Sus scrofa: one gene and its partner. The protein of the gene in region 2 purifies or fractionates together with the protein of the main gene of each other region. This does not show direct contact. Links are inferred from orthologs where the notes say so. Each region holds a gene or a part of one and is shown on either strand. Other genes may lie near its edges.

The links. Proteins that work in one complex are often made in the same cells at the same time.
Region 1: the proteins of FNTB (region 2) and DYRK1A purify together in Homo sapiens (affinity purification with mass spectrometry; 3 studies listed by BioGRID, counting the BioPlex papers as one). This does not show direct contact. The link is inferred for Sus scrofa from reciprocal best matches to the Homo sapiens genes FNTB and DYRK1A.

What each region holds. Positions count from the first base shown.
Region 1 is NC_010455.5:201,007,324-201,011,591, reverse strand, and holds the start of DYRK1A (dual specificity tyrosine-phosphorylation-regulated kinase 1A), read right to left. Parts: upstream 3,087-4,268; 5' UTR 2,675-3,086; intron 1,374-2,674; exon of another isoform or gene 1,255-1,373; intron 989-1,254; exon of another isoform or gene 700-988; intron 1-699. UniProt on the Homo sapiens protein: Dual-specificity kinase which possesses both serine/threonine and tyrosine kinase activities. Exhibits a substrate preference for proline at position P+1 and arginine at position P-3.
Region 2 is NC_010449.5:89,128,321-89,131,710, reverse strand, and holds the end of FNTB (protein farnesyltransferase subunit beta), read right to left. Parts: intron 2,120-3,390; coding exon 1,988-2,119; 3' UTR 636-1,987; downstream 1-635. UniProt on the Homo sapiens protein: Essential subunit of the farnesyltransferase complex. Catalyzes the transfer of a farnesyl moiety from farnesyl diphosphate to a cysteine at the fourth position from the C-terminus of several proteins having the C-terminal sequence Cys-aliphatic-aliphatic-X.

The DNA.
Region 1 (4,268 bases), on a different chromosome or scaffold from region 2:
AGCAAACCACAAAGTTAATTCCACGCCAACACTATACCTGGACACGGCTCCAGGTTAGAACCCTGAATCATTAAACACAAATCGCTCCAAAATTTGCCAGTATTTATAATAATGAGTTATAACCTAGTGATTAAGAGTCCAGGCTGGCAGCAGACTCCTGGCTCCCGGAGTCTCAGCTGTATGACCTTGGATGACTCACCGCTCAGTTTCCTCATCTGTGAAATGGGTAACAGTTCCTACCGGGAGGATAAGCGAGTTAATACGCGTAAAGCCCTGAAGAAGAGCGCCTCGCACGCTTCCTCCTCATCTTTAAATCAATGTGAAAACAATGCTATAAGGTGGATTTTCGGACAACCTGGGCGGAGTGGTGCTGGCATTCAAGGACTGCACCTCGATTACAAGATCCAGCCCTATCATCTAGGGTTGGACGGCAGGCACAGGGAAGGAGTCAGAGTCACTCACTAATTCTGCCATTTTTAGCTACTTCAGACCCGGCAGGGGCCTTCGGCTGAGCGCTGAGCTGTTCAGCAGCTCCGGTGGGTCTAAGCGGGAGTGGGTTTGTGCCTATTAACAGACTTGCGAAGTTTTGTGGCAGTATGCAGGTATCCGTCCCAATTTACGCATCCTCAGCCACCAACTCCTCCGCCCGCTAAGCAGGTCATTCCTCCACGTCCAGGGGCCGGGCTCCCTCGCACTCACGGCACAACTTCGGAGCACGCCGAGGGCCCTGGCTCCAGCCCACGCCCCAAGGGCCGCGCGGGGACCGGGCGCCCGACCTTCCCCGACGCCTCGCCCAGCAGCCAGCCCCATTTTCTTAACCCGTGCATTGTCCTTGCGGAGAACCCCGGCCGTTCCCACACTGGTGGGGACCGAGAGGAGGGACGAGGGAGGAGCTGGGGGAAGAGGATGAGGAGGAAGAGGAGGAGGAGGAGGAAGACAACCTCCTCCCCTTCGCTCGGGCGACCAGTGAAGGTCTGGCGCTTTCTCCGGCCCCCAGGCCCCGGCTCCCGGGAGGCCGCGGCCTCGGCTCCCACCCTCGGCAACTTTCCCTCCGCTCGCACCCGCCTCTCCTCCGGGACCGGGCCCGTCGGGCTCCCTCCCCCGGCGGCCAGCCCCGGGCCGCGGCGCCTCCTCCTAAAATGGCAGGTCCCTCCCTCCGCCCGGCCGGCCTCGGCGCGGGCCCGGCTGCAGGCCGCGGGGGGAGCCGGGCGCCGGGCAGGGCCGGGCGGGGCCGCGGCCAGGCCGGACACTCACCGGGACGATGGCGGGGCGCTCGCGCCGCTTCCTCCGGTGAGTCTCAGCCTTGGGCTCCCGCCGCTGCGCTCCCGCCGGGGCCTCCGCAGCCAGCGCCGCCCCGGCCGCCTCTCTCCGCCCCCGGCGCTCCCGGCTCCGCGGCCGAGCCGCAGCCTTCTCAGTCTCTCTCCGGCTCGCGGTTCCAGCGGCGCCCGGGGCCGGGGAGGCGACAGCCCCCTCCCCGGCAAATACCGCAGTCCCCGGACCCCGACTCCCGGCGGCGGGGCCGCGCGGCCCGGCCCGGCGCGGAGGGCGGCGGCGGCGAGGCCGGGCGCCGAGTCGCGGCTGCTCCCGGCGGCTTCTTCCCGAGGAGGATTTTGTAAATCTCACAAAATGGCGCGCGCTCCAAACCTGCGCAGCGAGAAGCGCCGGGGCCCGAGCGGCGGCGGCGGCGGCGGCGGCGGCTCCTCCGCCAGGAGAGCCAGAACCGCCCGCACAGACAGACAGACACTCACACACACTCACACACACACACACGCACGCACACTCGCACACGCTCACTCACACACACACTCTCACACTCACACCGGTCCCGCCCGCTCGCCGGCGGCGGCAGCGGCACCAACAGCAGCAGCAGGAACAGCAGCAGCAGAAGCGGCGGCGGCGGCGGCGCCCGCACCCCCCGCTCGGGGTGTCCGCTCCCTGAGCCCGACCTGGGCCGCGATCAGCAGCAGCGACGGCAGCAGTCTCCCCGGATCCCCCCGCCGCTCTTGCCGCCGCCACCCCCGCCTCACTCCAATGGGGCTTTTTATTATTATTCGGGCGGGAAGCGAAAGGGTTTAAAAAAAAACCAACCAACAAAATGGCGACGGACCGACCCGGTCGCTATAGCAACTGTCAATCAAAACGCAAAACCCCGGCTGACGTGCTGACGTCCTCCTCCCGCCCCCCGGCCCCAAGCCGGCGGGCGGGGCCTGTTGCTCGGGCAACGGCAGATTCCGTTCCCTCCTTTCCCTCTCCCCCTCCGTCCCCAACCAACCACCCAACCCCCTCAGGTCACGTGAAGGATAAATTCGGAGCTCAGGCCCGCTACGAGTGTCAGAGGAGGGCGCGTGATTCGCTCGGGGGAGGGGAGAGGAGGGGGACGGCCGGGCCGAGGGAGGGAGAGGGCGGAGGAAGGGGGGCGAGGCGGCGGCCGGCCTGTGCTCCAGCGCCCAGGGCCTCCCGGCCGCGCCCCGCCCCGCGCCCGCCGCGCCCGCGCCGCCCGCGCCGACTGCGGCCCGGAGAGCGCGCGCGGCCTCCGCGCCGCCGCCCCCGGAGCCCCGCGCTTCCGCGTCGTGCGCCCGCAGCCCCGCCCGCGCCGGGGGGAGGGGGCCGGGCTCTGCGGCCGCGCGGGGACCCAGGAAGCCCACTCCGGTGCGCCCGCGCTGGGGACTCTCACCTGCATCCCCGGGGACCGCGCCGGCAGCGCACGTCCGCGCGTTTAAACTGTTCTTGGAAGGCCCCGCGTGCCCCCCTCGCCGGAAAATGCCCACGGAGGCCGCGGTGGGGGGTGGGGAAGAGGCCGCCTCCGCGTTTCAGACATCTCAGGAATTCCGGACGCTTCGCCCGAATCCGGGATGCCCCTGCGGCTGACACCTTGATTAAATCATGTCACTCGGCTTTTTGCTGCGGCCAGTGCCAGCGTTCAGAAATCATGGACGGAGCCATCATACAAACTTTTTTAGGCTGTGCATGCTCAGCCGGGCTTTCCCACCGATTTCAAACCCCTCCCCACCTTTCAGGCAGTCTTCCTTCTCCATCGGAATGCCCCTAAAATTAATCGTCTTAGGCTATACCGTATCGTTGTCCAACTCCCTGATTTTCTTTCTCATGCACCATTTCAGTTTCCAGATTTTTAATTCGCCCACAATTCTTGATTAATAGTCTCGCTTTCGTTTATCTTTATTCTGTCTACCCCTCTGGCTGGCTGAATATTACTAGGTGTTCTCTCTCGGCATTGAAACCTAGGTATGGAAGTAGCCATGCTGTACTGGCTACTTTGTAATCAGTAGACAGCCACTGGCTAAAAATTGTATTTTGTACCATTCCTAGTAAAATGGCATTTAATCTTTGCCAAAAAGGATACTATGGATATTATTTTACACCAAGTCCCTAATTTATTGATTGATTTCTAAGCTTGATTTTGCCATCTTATGATAGTGTTCGTATCAATTTTGTCTTAAGCTTGGACTGTTCACAAGTAAAGCAGCAGCAGATACCAGTAAAGAAAAACAACCCCACAGTAAATACTGAGCTCAATCCTCTATGACTCAAGGAAAGACACGAGTGTTTCCAATAAATGTTTCTCTTCTCTGGCTACTGGAACCTTGATTTACTAAGGCATCCATTGAAATTAGCACAGACCGTGAAAGAAAACAGACTAAACTTTAGATAAATTAGGCAAAAAGTAGGCCAATAGCTTAGACCGATTCTCATGGTATCACAAACTGCCATGACTATCAAGAGTTTTTTTGGACTTTCAAAATTGCCCTGCTAATGTAATTAAAGTCCACATTCAACTTGATTGTTTTCTGGTGGGGGGGAGTTAGGGTGGTGGTTTAATTTCCAGTTTATTTTCTGTTAAATTAACTACAACCTGGATTTACATTGCATCATCTTAAACAGGAGGAAGTGGCCAAAAGCGTCCCTGCTGGGGTAAGAGGCTGATATCTTGACGGCTCCCCAGCTTACACTGCCACCTCCTCCCTCCTGCTTCTTTCTCTTCTCCCTGCTCCCCACCCCCATCCTGTTCAGGCAGTTTCACTTCTCTCAGGACCCTTAAGCATTTGCAACCTTTAACACCAAGTTAAATTTGAGTCCGTTTTTTTTAATATATATTTTTATTATTTTTAAGAATTATTTCCCCCAATATAATTTTTTTCTACTGTACAGCATGGTGACCCAGTTACACATACATGTACACATTCTATTTTCTCACATTATCATGCTCCATCATAAGTGACTGGACATAGTTCCCAGTGCTACACTGCAGG
Region 2 (3,390 bases):
GACTTCTGTTAACAGGGCAAAATTAGCATAGGCACAGGGATTACATTCTGGGTTGTGGATTTGGTTTCTTCTCTGCCTCGGAGGGCACCTCTTCTCACCATCAAGGAGAGGGGCAGGTCACAGAGCACCCACTTTCTTGGCTTCTCCTTGGGAGGGGGTCTCTGACCAATGAGGAGGAAAGCCAGGTGATCACAGGGTGCTGACCTGTCCCTGTGACAGCGCCCGGCCCCTGACCAGGATGTCACCTACCCACCCACTGTCGAGTGTCTTCGTGAGCACTCCGGAGCACCCCCCTGCTCTCAGGGAGACACACACACACACCACACACACACACACACTCACTCACTCACTCACTCACTCACTCACTCTGAAACTGAGCGGAGTGCTGGGCCAAACCAAACTGCTCCAGGGAGCCTGGGACATGGCTTTCCTCCTCCTCTCAGGCTCTCCGTGTCCTTAACTGGAGAAGGTATGTGAGGGAGGGAGGAACCCGTCCGACCTCTTTGTAACCACTGATGCGTGTGGTCTGGAATCACACAGAGGAGGAGACTGGTGACCACAAGCCCCCGCCAAACTCCTAACACTGGGCCCACTGAAGGCCTTTTCCTGGGACCTGTCACAAATGAGAGACATCATAGAAAATGTTATTCTTTTATTATTTCAAGGAGGTAATACACAGCCCCAAACGTCAAAGCACTAGGGAATTAGAGGCAGCAGACGGCCAAAGTTGTTGAGAAGAGCCTCATGCTGCATCTCCGGGCCCCCATCTGCCCACAGCCCACGGCTGCTTACAGGAAGGCCAGACCAGCAACATGGCACTTGCTGTGACTGTGGCAGTGGACAGGTGACCCAACTCAATACCCCACTGACTAAGGAAGGGTTCTCCTGGGTGGGCAGCGCTCAGCCCTGCCCCGGCCAGGTATACATGGCTACTGCCTTGGCGGCAACCAGCTTATCTAGCACTTGATTTTATTTCTGTAAGCCTGGAGTGGGTAGGATGGGAATAAATCCTGAGTCAGAAATGAAGGTGAAAGACTTAGTAGTGTTAATACTCTGGGTGAGAGAAGACAACACTGCCTGAGAAGGGTGGGCTGGGAGTCGGTAGAAGAAAGATGGCAACACCGAGACTGGCCAGGGACTGAAGGCGCTGCTTTGCAGCCATCAGAGGGGTTTTTTGGGGGCACATGATGTGGGGGGCCTGGGGGGTGGGCTCTGAGGCTCCTGCTTCCTCTGGCACAGAGTTGATCTAAAGGTTCATTTTTCACTCATAATTGGTTTTCCGGGTCTAGGTCACCACCCCAGGGGCTGAAGCAAGTCCTGCCTGTGCACAAGGCTGGCCATGGAGATGTGTGGTCAGTGCCCAGTGTGGGCAGGGAGGGACTCACATCTCCCAAGACCTTTCTCCCCCGACCCCAGCTCCTTCCCCTGCAGGTGACCAGGGTGGGAGGTGGGGGCCTCGGGCACCTCAGAGTGAAGCCCCACCACATTCTTTTCCTGGAGAATTCATTTTGGTGGGACCTAAGGTCCCCACCTGGCAGCGAGCAGACTCATGTCCACCCATGGGAAGCCACCTTCTGGCGGCTGAATGGTGGTGCGAGTAGGAAGGGCAGCAGCGGCTCTGGATACGGTAATACTCTGACATTCATTCATTCCAATGCCATGGTCAGACCGGAGCACTGGCGAGAGGGCTGCTCCTTCCCAGCATGCACTGTTCCCCAGCCAACCCCGGCCAGGTCAGAGCCAGGTTCAGATGCCGCATGGCCGGTAGATTTTTGGTTTAACAGGAATGGAAAGAATCTTTAAAAAACCAGGCCACTGCGTTCTCTAGACTGGGAGCCATCGGTTTTGTTTAACAAGAAAGGACAAAGAACCAAACTCCACAGTGGCCAAGGCTTGTGCAGCACAGAATGCAGTGTGTATCGAAATGTATAAACCTTGGTCTGACTGGGGAGGTGGGTGAACACAGACCCGTGGGACCTCGTGTCCTCTAGTCAGTGGCAGGCTCTGCTGTTGCCTCATCCTCATGCTCCTCAAAGCCTGGGACCGGCTTCTGTAGAAAGTGCATGGTGGCTTGGATCACCTTATCTGGTCCAATATTGTATACAGGGTGAGTGGGCTGCTGCAAAGAGAACAGATGCCAATTAATCACTCCAGTGCACAGCCTTTGCCCATTTAATGCACTTACAAGAATATAACATTGGAGATCCCGTTGTGGCTCAATGGTTAACAAACCCAACTAGCATTCATGAGGACGCGGGTTCAATCCCTGGCCTCACTCAGTGGGTTAAGGATCTGGCGTTGCCGTGAACTGTGGCTTGGATTCCACGTTGCTGTGGTTAGGCCAGCGGCCACAGCTCCAATTGGACCCCTAGCCTGGGCACCTCCATATGCTGAGGGTGCAGCCCTAAAAAGACAAAAAGACAAAACAAAAAGAATATAATATAAGGAATCATCAGAGATACACATGGAGATTTATCTCACAAGGCCCTATTGTACAACAGGGAACTGGTAAGACATGTTATAGTACATGGGACACAGAGGAAGAGAGCCATTAAAAACATGCTTTCAGCATGTAAATCAATGAAGTTAGAATACATCATACACAAAAATAAATTCAAAATGGCCTAAAGACTTAAATACAAAACAGAACACCATAAAACTCCAAGAAGAGAACAAGAAGAGAAGGCAAAACATTGACATAAATCCTACCAATGTTTTCTTAGGTCAGTCTCCCAAAACAACGGAAATAAAAGCATAAATGAACAAATGGGACCTAATCAAACTTAAGCTTTTGCACAGCAAAGGAAACCATAAACAAAAGAAAACCTACGGACTGGGCGAAAATATTTGCAAAGATGCAATTGACAAAAGACATCCTTTCAAATATTTAATGATATTGGCAAATACTTACATTAAGTGTGGAAGACAGTATGTGATATTATCCCCAAACTTATGATTTTGGGAGGCTTTTTCGGCCGTAGATTCAGCCAAAAAATAAAGTGTTGGTAGATATGATGTATATGAAATAGGCCAAAAAAAAAAAAATGAATGTAGGCCAAAATAGGAACAGTGATGATTGTTTTTAATTTTCTTTTAGTTTTATATGTACTCCAATTATTTAAAAAATAAATATGTGTTTATAATCAAGAAAAAGGACCGTGATCCTATTACACTTAAGTAAAGGCGTCAGGCCATCAATAAGTTAATTTATCCCACAGAACCCCCTCCCCAAAAAAACTTTAGTGTGAGACAAGGCACAAGCCTAGGCCAGTACTGAAGTTAAGAAAATACTTTGAGCAAATCCATGCCAGAACAAAGGTAAACTAAATAGTTTTATAGAGCAATATAAATTTTCAAAATTGATTCAAGAAAAAAATTTTAAAACCTATA